Linked DNA regions of Anolis sagrei. The protein of the gene in region 2 binds, or shares a complex with, the protein of the main gene of each other region. Links are inferred from orthologs where the notes say so. Each region holds a gene or a part of one and is shown on either strand. Other genes may lie near its edges. The genes, in order: TMEM216, TCTN1 and TMEM17.

Evidence for each region.
Region 1: TCTN1 (region 2) and TMEM216 share a complex: the UniProt entries of both Homo sapiens proteins name them as parts of the tectonic-like complex. The link is inferred for Anolis sagrei from reciprocal best matches to the Homo sapiens genes TCTN1 and TMEM216.
Region 3: TCTN1 (region 2) and TMEM17 share a complex: the UniProt entries of both Homo sapiens proteins name them as parts of the tectonic-like complex. The link is inferred for Anolis sagrei from reciprocal best matches to the Homo sapiens genes TCTN1 and TMEM17.

Annotation. Positions count from the first base shown.
Region 1 is NC_090021.1:236,146,513-236,150,262, forward strand, and holds the start of TMEM216 (transmembrane protein 216), read left to right. Parts: upstream 1-999; 5' UTR 1,000-1,260; coding exon 1,261-1,273; intron 1,274-3,750. UniProt on the Homo sapiens protein: Part of the tectonic-like complex which is required for tissue-specific ciliogenesis and may regulate ciliary membrane composition.
Region 2 is NC_090034.1:31,327,172-31,330,921, forward strand, and holds the start of TCTN1 (tectonic-1), read right to left. Parts: upstream 2,600-3,750; 5' UTR 2,591-2,599; coding exon 2,057-2,590; intron 1-2,056. UniProt on the Homo sapiens protein: Component of the tectonic-like complex, a complex localized at the transition zone of primary cilia and acting as a barrier that prevents diffusion of transmembrane proteins between the cilia and plasma membranes.
Region 3 is NC_090021.1:152,383,708-152,387,457, reverse strand, and holds the start of TMEM17 (transmembrane protein 17), read left to right. Parts: upstream 1-1,020; 5' UTR 1,021-1,107; coding exon 1,108-1,213; intron 1,214-3,750. UniProt on the Homo sapiens protein: Transmembrane component of the tectonic-like complex, a complex localized at the transition zone of primary cilia and acting as a barrier that prevents diffusion of transmembrane proteins between the cilia and plasma membranes.

The DNA.
Region 1 (3,750 bases), on a different chromosome or scaffold from region 2:
TAAGTTGTTTAATTTAGTAATACTCCATTATAGAAGAACCACGAGAAAGAAAAAGTTACAGGTTGAGCATCCCTTATCTGGAATCCCAAAATAATCCAAAATACTAAATTGTTCACATGGGAGGCTGCTCTCTTATGTTCATTGTACATGCACAAAATTAATACAAATATTGTATATAAAATTCTTTTAATAGTATAAGAAACAAAAATAAACTTGGCGTTTAAGCATGGCTCCCTCTCCAAGACATGCCATCATGTGTATATGCAAGTAGATATTTCGAAATCCATAAAAATCCCAAATATTCTTTGTCCCAAACATTTCTGATAAGAGAATCTCAGCCTGCACTTCCATTGTCCAGGGATAAGACAGGAATAGGGGAAAGAAACATGCTGTTGAAACAAAGCAACCACAAAATTCTGTGCGTACTCAAATCCTGGGGTATAGAAGTCAAGACAAGCTGTAGCAGTGAAAAGTTGCTTTGTATACTGAAAAGGGAGAAATGAAGGAATAGAAGGGCGGAAAGTCCTTCGGTAAAGATGTTTTCAAGCAGGATCTTGGGGTTTATCCACACTATAGAATGAATATAGTTTGATCCCACTTTAACTGCCATGGCTTAATGCAAAGGAATAGTGGGAGCTGTAGTTTTACAAGGTCTTGAGCCTTCTCTGCCAGAGTGCCACTGCTTCCTCAAACTACAAAGCCCAAGATTTCATAGCATTGAGCTATGGCAGTTAAAGTGGGGTCAATTAATAAAGTCTACAGTGTAGATCAAGTCTGGGCAAACTTGGGCCTTCCAGGTGTTTTGGACTTCAAAAGTCCAAAACACCTGGAAGGCCCAAGTTTGCCTAAGCCTGATATAGATGCATCTGAAGGGCTGCTTATTTCTTGGTTCTTAGTTCTGCTTAGTTGCTATGGGAGGCCTTTTTCCGCCCCCTGATTGGTGGGGGCGAGGGGCGGGGCCAAGGGGTAACTATGGAAACGGAGGCGACCCCTGTCGGGCTCTTGTGAGGACGAAGCGGCTTCCTCTTTAGAGTCCACGTCGTTGTTTCCGGCATCGAATGCAGACTCGCGCCACACTGACCGGCCTGTGTTTGGAGCCTGAGAAGTCCAGGGCTAGAGCGGCTCCGATCCCATAGCGGAAGTGACGTCTTCATCCCTAAGTCAGGCCCTTCTCTGTGGGGCACAGATTGACATCCGGGCGAGGAGAAGTAGCAGCCGGCCGCAGGCTTTCTGCGTAGTTGGTGTCCATGGAGATGGAAGATGGCGCCTCGCAGTAAGTGGTGGCGGGGACTGGAGAGGTCAAACTGCATTAATTCTACAGTGTAGATGCACTCAGTATCATGTGAGGACGAGCTGTGTCCCTGGAAGGAAGTGGGGGAGGCAGAAAGGAAGAGAAGGGAAGGGAAACTGGGGGAGGAGAAAGGGAAACCTCTCTGCAGTCAGGACTCCTAATGTATGGAAGATCCAGACTCAGCAGTATGGAGACTCTCACACTAAAATTAGATCAAATATTGCACTGCTTACAAGATTGGTAATTGAAAGCTACACAAACTGGCAAACGATCATGTCTGACGATTTTAATGATTTTAATTTACAGTTATATGTTATTGCTTTAAGATTTGTCATGTATTGTTTTTATTCTTATGTGAATTTTTGCCAATTATTATGCTGTACACCTCTTTGAGTCCCCCTAGGAGTGAGAAAAGCGGTATAGAAATGCAATAAATAAATAAATAAACTATTGAAATAGCTAAAACCATCAAAATCTATTGAAATACATAATTTGTTCAAGGGTACCAGGTGATCTCTCTGGCTAACAATGCCTCATCCTAAGCTTCGAGTTATAGGATTCCAGTGCATGTTGCCATGGCAGCTGAAGTCGGATACTGACTGTGTGATGTGAGAGGGTCCTTCCATTCTGGGCACTTGCCTATAACTCTTAGCCAGCCATGGGGTGCATCTCCACTGCGGAATTAATGCAGTTTGACACCACTTTAACTGCTATAGCTCAATATGGAATTATGGGAGTTGTCGCCCCAACTCTATTCTCCATCTTCATCGCTATGATACTTCACCTTGTTGATGGGAAGCTTCCCACCGGAGTGGAAATAATCTATCGGACAGATGGCAAGCTATTCAACCTCAGCAGACTGAAAGCCAAAACCAAGGTTACAACAACATCTGTTATAGAACTCCAGTATGCTGATGACAATGTCGTCTGTGCGCATTCAGAAGAAGATCTACAAGCCACTCTAAACACCTTCGCAGAAGCATACGAGAAGCTCGGCCTGTCACTGAACATTGAGAAAACCAAGGTGCTGTTCCAGCAGTCACAAGCCAATCCCTCTCCAATGCCAGTAATACAGCTTAATGGTGTAACATTAGAAAATGTGGACCATTTCCGCTACCTTGGCAGCCACCTCTCCACCAAAGTCAACATCGACGCCGAAATACAACACCGCCTGAGCTCTGCAAGTGCAGCATTTTCCAGAATGAAGCAAAGAGTGTTCGAGGACCGGGACATCCGTAGGGAGACCAAGGTGCTTGTCTATAAAGCCATTGTCCTCCCAACCCTGCTATATGCCTGTGAGACGTGGACAGTCTACAGACGTCATATGCAACTCCTGGAACGATTCCATCAGCGCTGCCTCCGGAAAATCCTGCAAATCTCCTGGGAAGACAAGCGGACAAACGTCAGTGTGCTGGAAGAAGCAAAGACCACCAGCATTGAAGCGATGGTCCTCCAACATCAACTCCGCTGGGCCGGCCACGTTGTCCGGATGCCTGACCACCGTCTCCCAAAGCAGTTGCTCTACTCCGAACTCAAGAATGGAAAACGGAATGTTGGTGGACAGGAAAAGAGATTTAAAGATGGGCTGAAAGCCAACCTTAAAAACTCTGGCATAGACACCGAGAACTGGGAAGCCCTGGCCCTTGAGCGCTCCAGCTGGAGGACAGCTGTGACCAGCAGTGCTGCAGAATTCGAGGAGGCACGAGTGGAGGGTGAAAGAGAGAAACGTGCCAGGAGGAAGGCGCGTCAAGCCAACCCCGACCGGGAACGCCTTCCACCTGGAAACCAATGCCCTCACTGCGGAAGAAGATGCAGAGCAAGAATAGGGCTCCACAGCCACCTACGGACCCACAAGGAAATCCATAATGGAAGACCATCTTACTCGTCCAACGAGGGATCGCCTAAGTAAGTAAGTAAGTAAGTTTTACAAGGGATGTGTCCTTTTTTGCCAAAAGAATGCTGGGGCCTCAGGATCCTATAGGATTTTGCAGTGGTAGTTAAAGTGGTGTCAATCTGCATTAATTTGACTGTGCAGCTGCACACATGGTCCAGATTCAATTTCTCCTTCCCCTTGCAAAATCTCTGCAGTGAGTATTGGTTTCACCTTGAACAGCTATAACCTAGCCATGTTTATAAGCAATGCTTTGGGGTTTGGAAAGATTAGCCGTTTACAAGAAATGTTGCCCAGAGGACGCCTGACTGTTTTTACTCAGTCTTCGAGGTGACTCTTTCCATGTCATAGAATCCTAGAGTTGGAAGAGACCTCATGGGCCATCCAGTCCAACCCCCTGCCAAGAAGCAGGAAAATCAAAATCAAAGCACTCCCAACAGATGGCTATCTAGCCTCTGTTTAAAAGCTTCCAAAGAAGGAGCCTCCGCCACACTTTGGGGCAGAGAGTTCCACTGCTGAATGGCTCTCACAGTCAGGAAGTTCTTCCTCATGTTCAGATGGAATTTCT
Region 2 (3,750 bases):
CTTTTTGCTCAATATTCAAGTGGTGCTTCTTGTAAGTCAGGGCATGGTCCAGAGTGACTCTCAAGTATTTTGGTGTGCTGCAATGCTCCAGTGGGATTCCTTCCCAGGTAATCCCCAGAGCTTGAGCTGCTTGTCTGTTTCAAGATGAAAAGCACATGTCTGCATTTTAGATGGATTAGGAATCAGCTAGTTTTCTCTGTAATAGGCAGTAAGAGGACCTAAAGCTTTGGAGAGCTTCTGTTCAACCATTTCAAAGCTCCCTGCTTGGGCGGTGATGGCATGATCGTCGACATAGATGAAACTCTCTGTCCCTTCTTGCAATGGCTGGTCATTCCTGTAAATGTTAAACTTGGATGGAGCAAGCACACTCAACTGAGGCAGGCCATTCTTCTGTTTTCGACATCTGCTTCTCTGACCCTGGAACTCAGCAAAAACTGTTTGGTAGCAGATTTCCTATGAAGCAAGTCCAGGAAGCATACTAGGATAAACAACAGAAACGACTAAAAGTTCCAGGAATGATCTTAAGTGGCGTGAAGACCACATGTGCAGTATGGAAGTGCTGTTTTTGTAAAACCAGGCCTCCAAGTCAGCAGTGCCCATAACACTAAAGAAAACAATATAGAGCTTATAACAGTAGAGCTTAGTAACATCACAATTACCTCTATGTATAAGCCCCCAAATGAAGCATTTTGTTTCTCCTCTCCTGAAAACTTTGATAGGCACCAAAGGGCGGTAGTAATTGGTGACCAACCCAATGATACAGTCATAGAGCACCTGGGGCAGGCTGGGGATCTCCTCTCGCAATCCTTACCAGGCCTGGTCCTTATTTCGTGTCAAAAGCATTGCACAAAAATGTTGTAAAGAAATGATTTTGGGTTGGAAATATTAGCTGTTTACAAGAAACATTGCCCAGGGGACACCTGACTGTATTTCTATCTTTTTTTATAGATTACCACTACACGCTCTACGTGGGGTTGCCTTTGAAGACTGTTCAGAAGCTTCAAGTGTTCAATGGGTGGCAGCCAGGTTGCTCACAGGAGCAGCATACAGGGAGTACACAATCCCTGTTATGTCAGCTCCACTGGCTGCCAGTCTGCTACCGAGCACAATTCAAAGTGTTGGCTTTAGCCTATAAAGCCCTAAACCAGTGGTTCTCAACCTGTAGGTCCCCAGTTGTTTTGGCCTTCAACTCCCAGAAATCCTAACAGCTGGTAAACTGGCTGGGATTTCTGGGAGTTGTAGGCCAAAACACGTGGGGCCCCACAGATTGAGAACCACTGCCCTAAACATTTCTGGCCCAGTGTACCTGTCTGAACGTATCTTCCCCTGTAAACCACCTCTGAGATTAAGATCGTCTGGGGAGGCCCTGCTCTCGATTCCACAACTGGTGGAGACAAGTGACAGGGCCTTCTCAGTGCTGGCCCCTCATCTATGGAATTCCCTTTCCAATTACATTAGATCAGCCCCTTCCCTCCTAGCCTTCAGAAGGAGAGTAAAAACATGGCCTTGGTATCAGGCTTTCGGATAATAGCGCAGTGCAACAATATAATTGGAATATGTGCAATGACTAGGAAACGGCCTTAGACTACGATTTTTGGATGGTGTGATTTTAATACTTAATGTAATTTTAAATATTTAATATGCATTAATTTTAATTAAGCTTAATGTTTGTATGTGTTTAAGGCATGGAATAATTGTCATATGTAAGCCGCCTTGAGTCTCCCTTGGGGTAGAGAAAAGCGGGGTATAAATAGAGTAAATAAATAAATAAATATTTACTCAATCTTCGAGGAGGCTCTTTCCATGTCGCCTCTAGGGCCCCTTAAGGACAGCGACTGGTCCCTCCAGGTGTTTGAGACTCCAACTCCCAGAATGCCTGGCGCCTGGGGCTCCTGGGAGTTGGAGTCCCAAAGGTTCCCATGCTTGAGGGGATGGACACTTCCGGATGGTCAGACTCCAATGGCTGACCTGTTTCCACTCGCCTTACCCCCCGCCACACACCACCCAACACCCATTTTCTTGTACTATGTCTCTTCAGGAGAAGGGCAGGGCTCACCGTGAAGGGCGGGCTCGGGCCAGGGCCCCAACCGCGAGGGACTTCCAGGAGGCATGGACTCAGAAGTAGCCCTAGGCCCGGGTGCAGGAGTAGATCTAGGCCCGGGGCTGGGCCTGCCCTCCTCGGCGGGGGTGGCTCCCGAGGTGGAGATGCTCTCGGGCTCCGCGGAGGACGCTCTCGGAGTGGTGAACAGGCCCACCGGCCACGGAAGCAGCAAGAGCAGCCACAAGTAGAGCGGCGAGGCTCCGCGCTCCATGGCGCCGCGAGGCCTCGGCAACGGTCGCTATGGATACAGCGCGAGGCAGCACGGGAGCCGGGGCCGAGTTTTCCGCCAAAGCCGTCGCTATGGCAACGAATGCCTTTGCCGTCCCCAGTGGACTCACCGAGAATTGCACCCGCTTGATCTTCTGCCCCTTCGTCAGAGGCGCTGTTTTGCCCAGAAGGCCGCGGCTCCAATGCATTGCCCTTGGCCACCCTCCAGTGGCGACATCGGAAATTGCATCTTTGAGCCGTAGTGGGCTGCGTGTAAGCCATAGGCAACTGTGTGATGCAGCAACTAAAACCAATGCGATTCTGGGGGATTGCGTTTGGTGAGGCTCTCGCACTCTAAAGCAGGCATGGGCAAACTTCGGCCCTCCAGATGTTTTTGACTCCAACTCCCACAATTCCGGTAGGCTGTTAGGAATTGTGGGAGTTGGAGTCGAAAACACCTGGAGGGCCAAAGTTTGCCCATGCCTACTCTAAAGGCTTTGGAAAACTAAAAGGTAATGAGGATGAACTAGCAGGCCCCCGCCTTCAAGCTGATCTGAGACGCAGCAAGGAGTTCCACAGTTCCTGGAAGCATGGATGTTCAAGATAACAAAAGGGACTCCTCTTCCTCCAAGATGCCGGGGTGGAAGCACCAGGCAGGAGGGAGGGAGGGAGGAGGGGAGAGAGACCGTTGCCTTCTTCACCAACTCTTCCTTGCCTCCCTCCCTTCACTGCAGGAAGGAGGAAAGAAAGAGGCAGAAACAAATTTTATTTTTGAATTCTCCCATTCCTCTGCGTCCTGCTCCCTTCTTCCTCCTCCAACTCCTTCTTTCTTTCCTCCCTCTCCTTCTCTCTCATTTCTGTAGATCTGTCTCGGCAACAGGAGCATACATTTAACTCTCTCTCTCTCTCTCTCTTCTATTAACATCCAGACTGGGAAGTAGCTCCCTCTGCCACACTCCTTCTCTCCCTCACTCCCTTCCCTTCTTTCCTCCCCCCTTTTCTTCCTTCCCTTCCTTTCCTTCTCCCCCTTCCTTCCCTTCCTGTCCCTCCTTCCTTTCCTTCTTTCCCTCCTTCCCTTCCATCCTGTCCCTCCTTCCTTCTTCCTTTCCTTTCCTTCCACCCTCCCTTCCTTTCCTCCTCCTTTCCCTTTCTTCATTTCCTTCCCCTTCATTTCCTTCCCCTTCATTTCCTTCCCTCCCTCCTTTCTTCACCCCTCCTTCCTTTGCCTCCTTCCTTCCTTCCTTCCTTCCTTTTTCCTTCCTTCCTGTCCCTCCTTCTTTCCTTTCCTTTCCTTCCTTTCCTTCTTTCCCTCTTTCCCTCCCTCCCTTTTTCCTTCCTTCCTTCCTTCCTTCCTTCCTTCCTTCCTTCCTTCTTCCTTTCCTTCTTTCTATGTAAGATATAAATACAATATTTTATATATTTTATATACATTACTATATACT
Region 3 (3,750 bases), on a different chromosome or scaffold from region 2:
ATACACATACACACATCATACATATATATATACATCTATAAATGTACACACACATATACATGTACACATGCCCATATATATATATATATATATATATGGCTGGAGTTACATATAAGACATTTACTTGTTCTGATTTACATACAAATTCAACTTAAGAACAAACCTACAGAACCATCTTGTTCGTAACTTGGGGACTGCCTGTACTTCTGAAATGCCAAATATTAAAAAAAATGACACAGCTGAATAAAATCCCACATTATCTGCTTTGAACTGGGATATATGGCAGTGTGGACTAGGGGCTCTTCCAGACAGGCCCTTTATCCCAGGCTCTGATCCCAGGTTTTCTGTTTATTCCAGATTATCTGGCAGTGGGGACCCATATAATCAAGTTTAAAGCAGAAAACCTGGGATCAGATCCTGGGCTATAGGGCCTGTCTGGAAGGGCCCTCAGATAACCCAGTTCAAAGCAGGTATTGTGGAATTTTCTGCCTTAATATTCTGGATTATATGGCTGTGTGGAAGGGCCCTGGGACTCTGTTTTGATTTTGCCAAGCTGCAATTTTACGACTTCATAGTATTACTGCCGGATATCCCTAAGACCTAAACTGAGGACCATGTACAGACTTAGCTGAATAACTAACGAAATTAAAAGGTTCTATATTCGTCTTCTAAGGGCCCTATATCCCAGAATATCAAGGCAGAATAACCCACAATATCTGCTTTGAACTGGGATATCTGAGTCCACACTGCTATATATTCCAGTTCAAAACAGATAGTGTGGGATATTACTCAGTTGTGTGGAAAGGGCCTAAGGGTTCATTTCTCACTACTAAAAGCTTGTCTGGGGCTTCAATTCTTGGGCTAGGAAGAGTAAGCAAAGTCTGCCACTGAAACCCAAGGTTTGTCTCACTTTAACAGCCTATGTTCGGGGAGACTTTTCCCGCCACGCGGCGCCCTCTCTGGCTGAGAGACACTGTGTGTGGGACTGGCCCAGAGGACCAGGTTTCTGAAGGAGCGACTCTGCGCCTGCGCCTAGGCTCCCGGCCACGCCCCCTGTTGCTACGGCAACGAACGACGGCGGCAGCGGCTGCCTGTCTTTAAGGCCTCATGTCCCTACCGGAGCCGGTCAGGCGTCGGCTCAACTCTTTCAGCCGCACGGTCTTTACTGACAACAGCCGCACGGGGCCCGAGAGCGGAGGCGACGACGTTCCGGGTGAGGGGAGGGGCGGTGTTTCGCCAGCTCCAAAGATGGCGACGAAGGTGGCAAGGGGTTGGAAAGGAGCTTGCCTCAAGGCAGAAAGGGTGGACGGTGGCGCGAGGCCTTGTGCGTCGTCGTTTGACCTGAGAGCGCGAGGAGCGGCACGCGCCAGTAAAAAAAAAGGAGGGAGGGGGAGGAGGAGAAGCCCCTCCCTTCTTGGTCCCCACTCTCCCTGCTTACTGGTCGGACAGTGCAGCCCACGCCGGGTCTGCGGCCTAACACCCCAACTTCTTGTTCCTGGCTCTTCGGAAACAGCACACATTTTTCCTAAAATTGTTCTACAATACCATACAATCCATTTCAAAGCAGATAATCTGGGGGATCTTCCAGACAGGCCCTATATTCCTGGATCTGCTTCCAGATTTTCTCTTTATCCCAGATTATCTGGCAGTGCAGACTCATATAATCCAGTTTAAAGCAGAAAACGCGGAATCAGATGCTGGGATATAGAGCCTGTCTAGAAGGGCCCTCGATTATATGGCAGGGTATAAGGGGCCTTAGGAGCCCCCAGTGGCACAGTGGGTTAAAGCGCTGGCTGAGCTGCTGAGCTTGTTGACCGAAAGGTCACAGGTTTGAATCCGGGGAGCGGTGTGACCTTCCGCTGTCAGCCCCAGCTTCTGCCAACCTAGCAGTTTGAAAACATGCAAATGTGAGTAGTTCAATAGGTACCTCTCTGGCAGGAAGGTAACAACGCTCCATACAGTCATGCTGGCCACATGACCTTGGAGGTGTCTATGGACAACGGCGGCTCTTCAGCTTAGAAATGGAGATGAGCACCACACCCCAGAGTCAGACACGACTGGATTTAATGTCAGGGGAAAACCTCTACACACAACACTGCTGGAATCGTGTCAGAAGTAAATTAAAAATTTGTTGTTGTTCATTCGTTCAGTCGTCTCCAACTCTTCGTGACCTCATGGACCAGCCCACGCCAGAGCTCCCTGTCGGCCGTCACCACCCCCAGCTCCTTCAAGGTCAGTCCAGTCACTTCAAGGATGCCATCCATCCATCTTGCCCTTGGTCGGCCCCTCTTCCTTTTGCCTTCCACTTTCCCCAGCATGATTGTCTTCTCTAGGCTTTGCTGTCTCCTCATGATGTGGCCAAAGTAATTAAGAATTAATTACTACAATTATATATATATATATATATATAAATGTAATGTTCGTTTGTGGGATTAACAGAACTCAAAAATCACTGGACGAATTGACACCAAATTTGGACACAAGACACCTAACAACCCAATGTATGTCCATTAAAAAAAAAATGATTTTCTCATTTGGGAGTTGTAGTTGCTGGGATTTAGCGTTCACCTACAATCAAAGTGCATTCTGAACCCCACCAATGATGGAATTGAACCAAACTTGGCACAGAGTTCTCCTATGACCAACTGAAAATACTGGAAGGGTTTGGTGGGCAGTGTCCTTTGGTTTTGGAGTTGTAATTCACCTACACCCAGAAAGCACTGTGGACTCAAACAATGATGGATCAGGACCAAACTTGGCACAAATACTCAGTATGCCCAAATGTGAACACTGGTGGAGTTTGGAGAAAATAACCTTGACACTTGGGAATTGTAGTTGCTGGGAGTTATAGTTTACCTACAATCAAAGAGCATTCTGAACTCCAGCAACGACGGAATTGAACCAGTCTTGGCACACAGAACTCCCATGACCAACAGAAAATACTGGAAGGATTTGGTGGGCAGTGCCCTTTGGTTTTGGGGTTGTAGTTCACCTATATCCAGAGATCACTGTGGACTCAAACAATGATGAGTCTGGACCAAACTCTACACAAATACTCAATATGCCCAAATGTGAACACTGGTAGAGTTTGGGGAAAATAGAATCTTGACATTTGGGAGTTGTAGTTGCTGGGATTTATAGTTCACCTACAATCACAGAGCATTCTGAATCCCACCAACGATAGAATTGGGCCAAACCTCCCACACAGAACCCCCATATGGGCCACAGCAATGCGTGGCAGGGGACAGCTAGTAATGTATAAAAAACAAAGTTCAAAACTTGGCATTATATTAAATTTCCTTTGACCAGAGGCTGGCCATTTGGAGTGCCTCTGGTGTCTTTTTAATTTTTTTTTATTGATTTATCACAATTATTACATACTGTTGCATTTTATACATCAACCTCTTTAACATGTTGTTTTGTTGTTTTGCTTTGACATTTCCTCCCCTTTTCTCTTTTTTTTTTCCCCCCTATTTTCACCTCAGTGCTCCCCTCCACCCGTCTCAAGCCACATTTTTTACATTTCATCTGTCCAAAATTTCATTTCTTCTTGTGACGGTAATTTTCCTTCCTTATTTTTTAATCCATTTACCACAAATTTTCCCCATATAGCATCAAAATCACTTTGTTTCCATATACCTTTTTAAACCTTTAATATACATGTCAGTTTGTCATTTAATGCTATTTTCCATGCTTCCTTGTACCACTCCTCTATTCGTATATTCATTTCTTTTTTCCAATTCCTTGCTA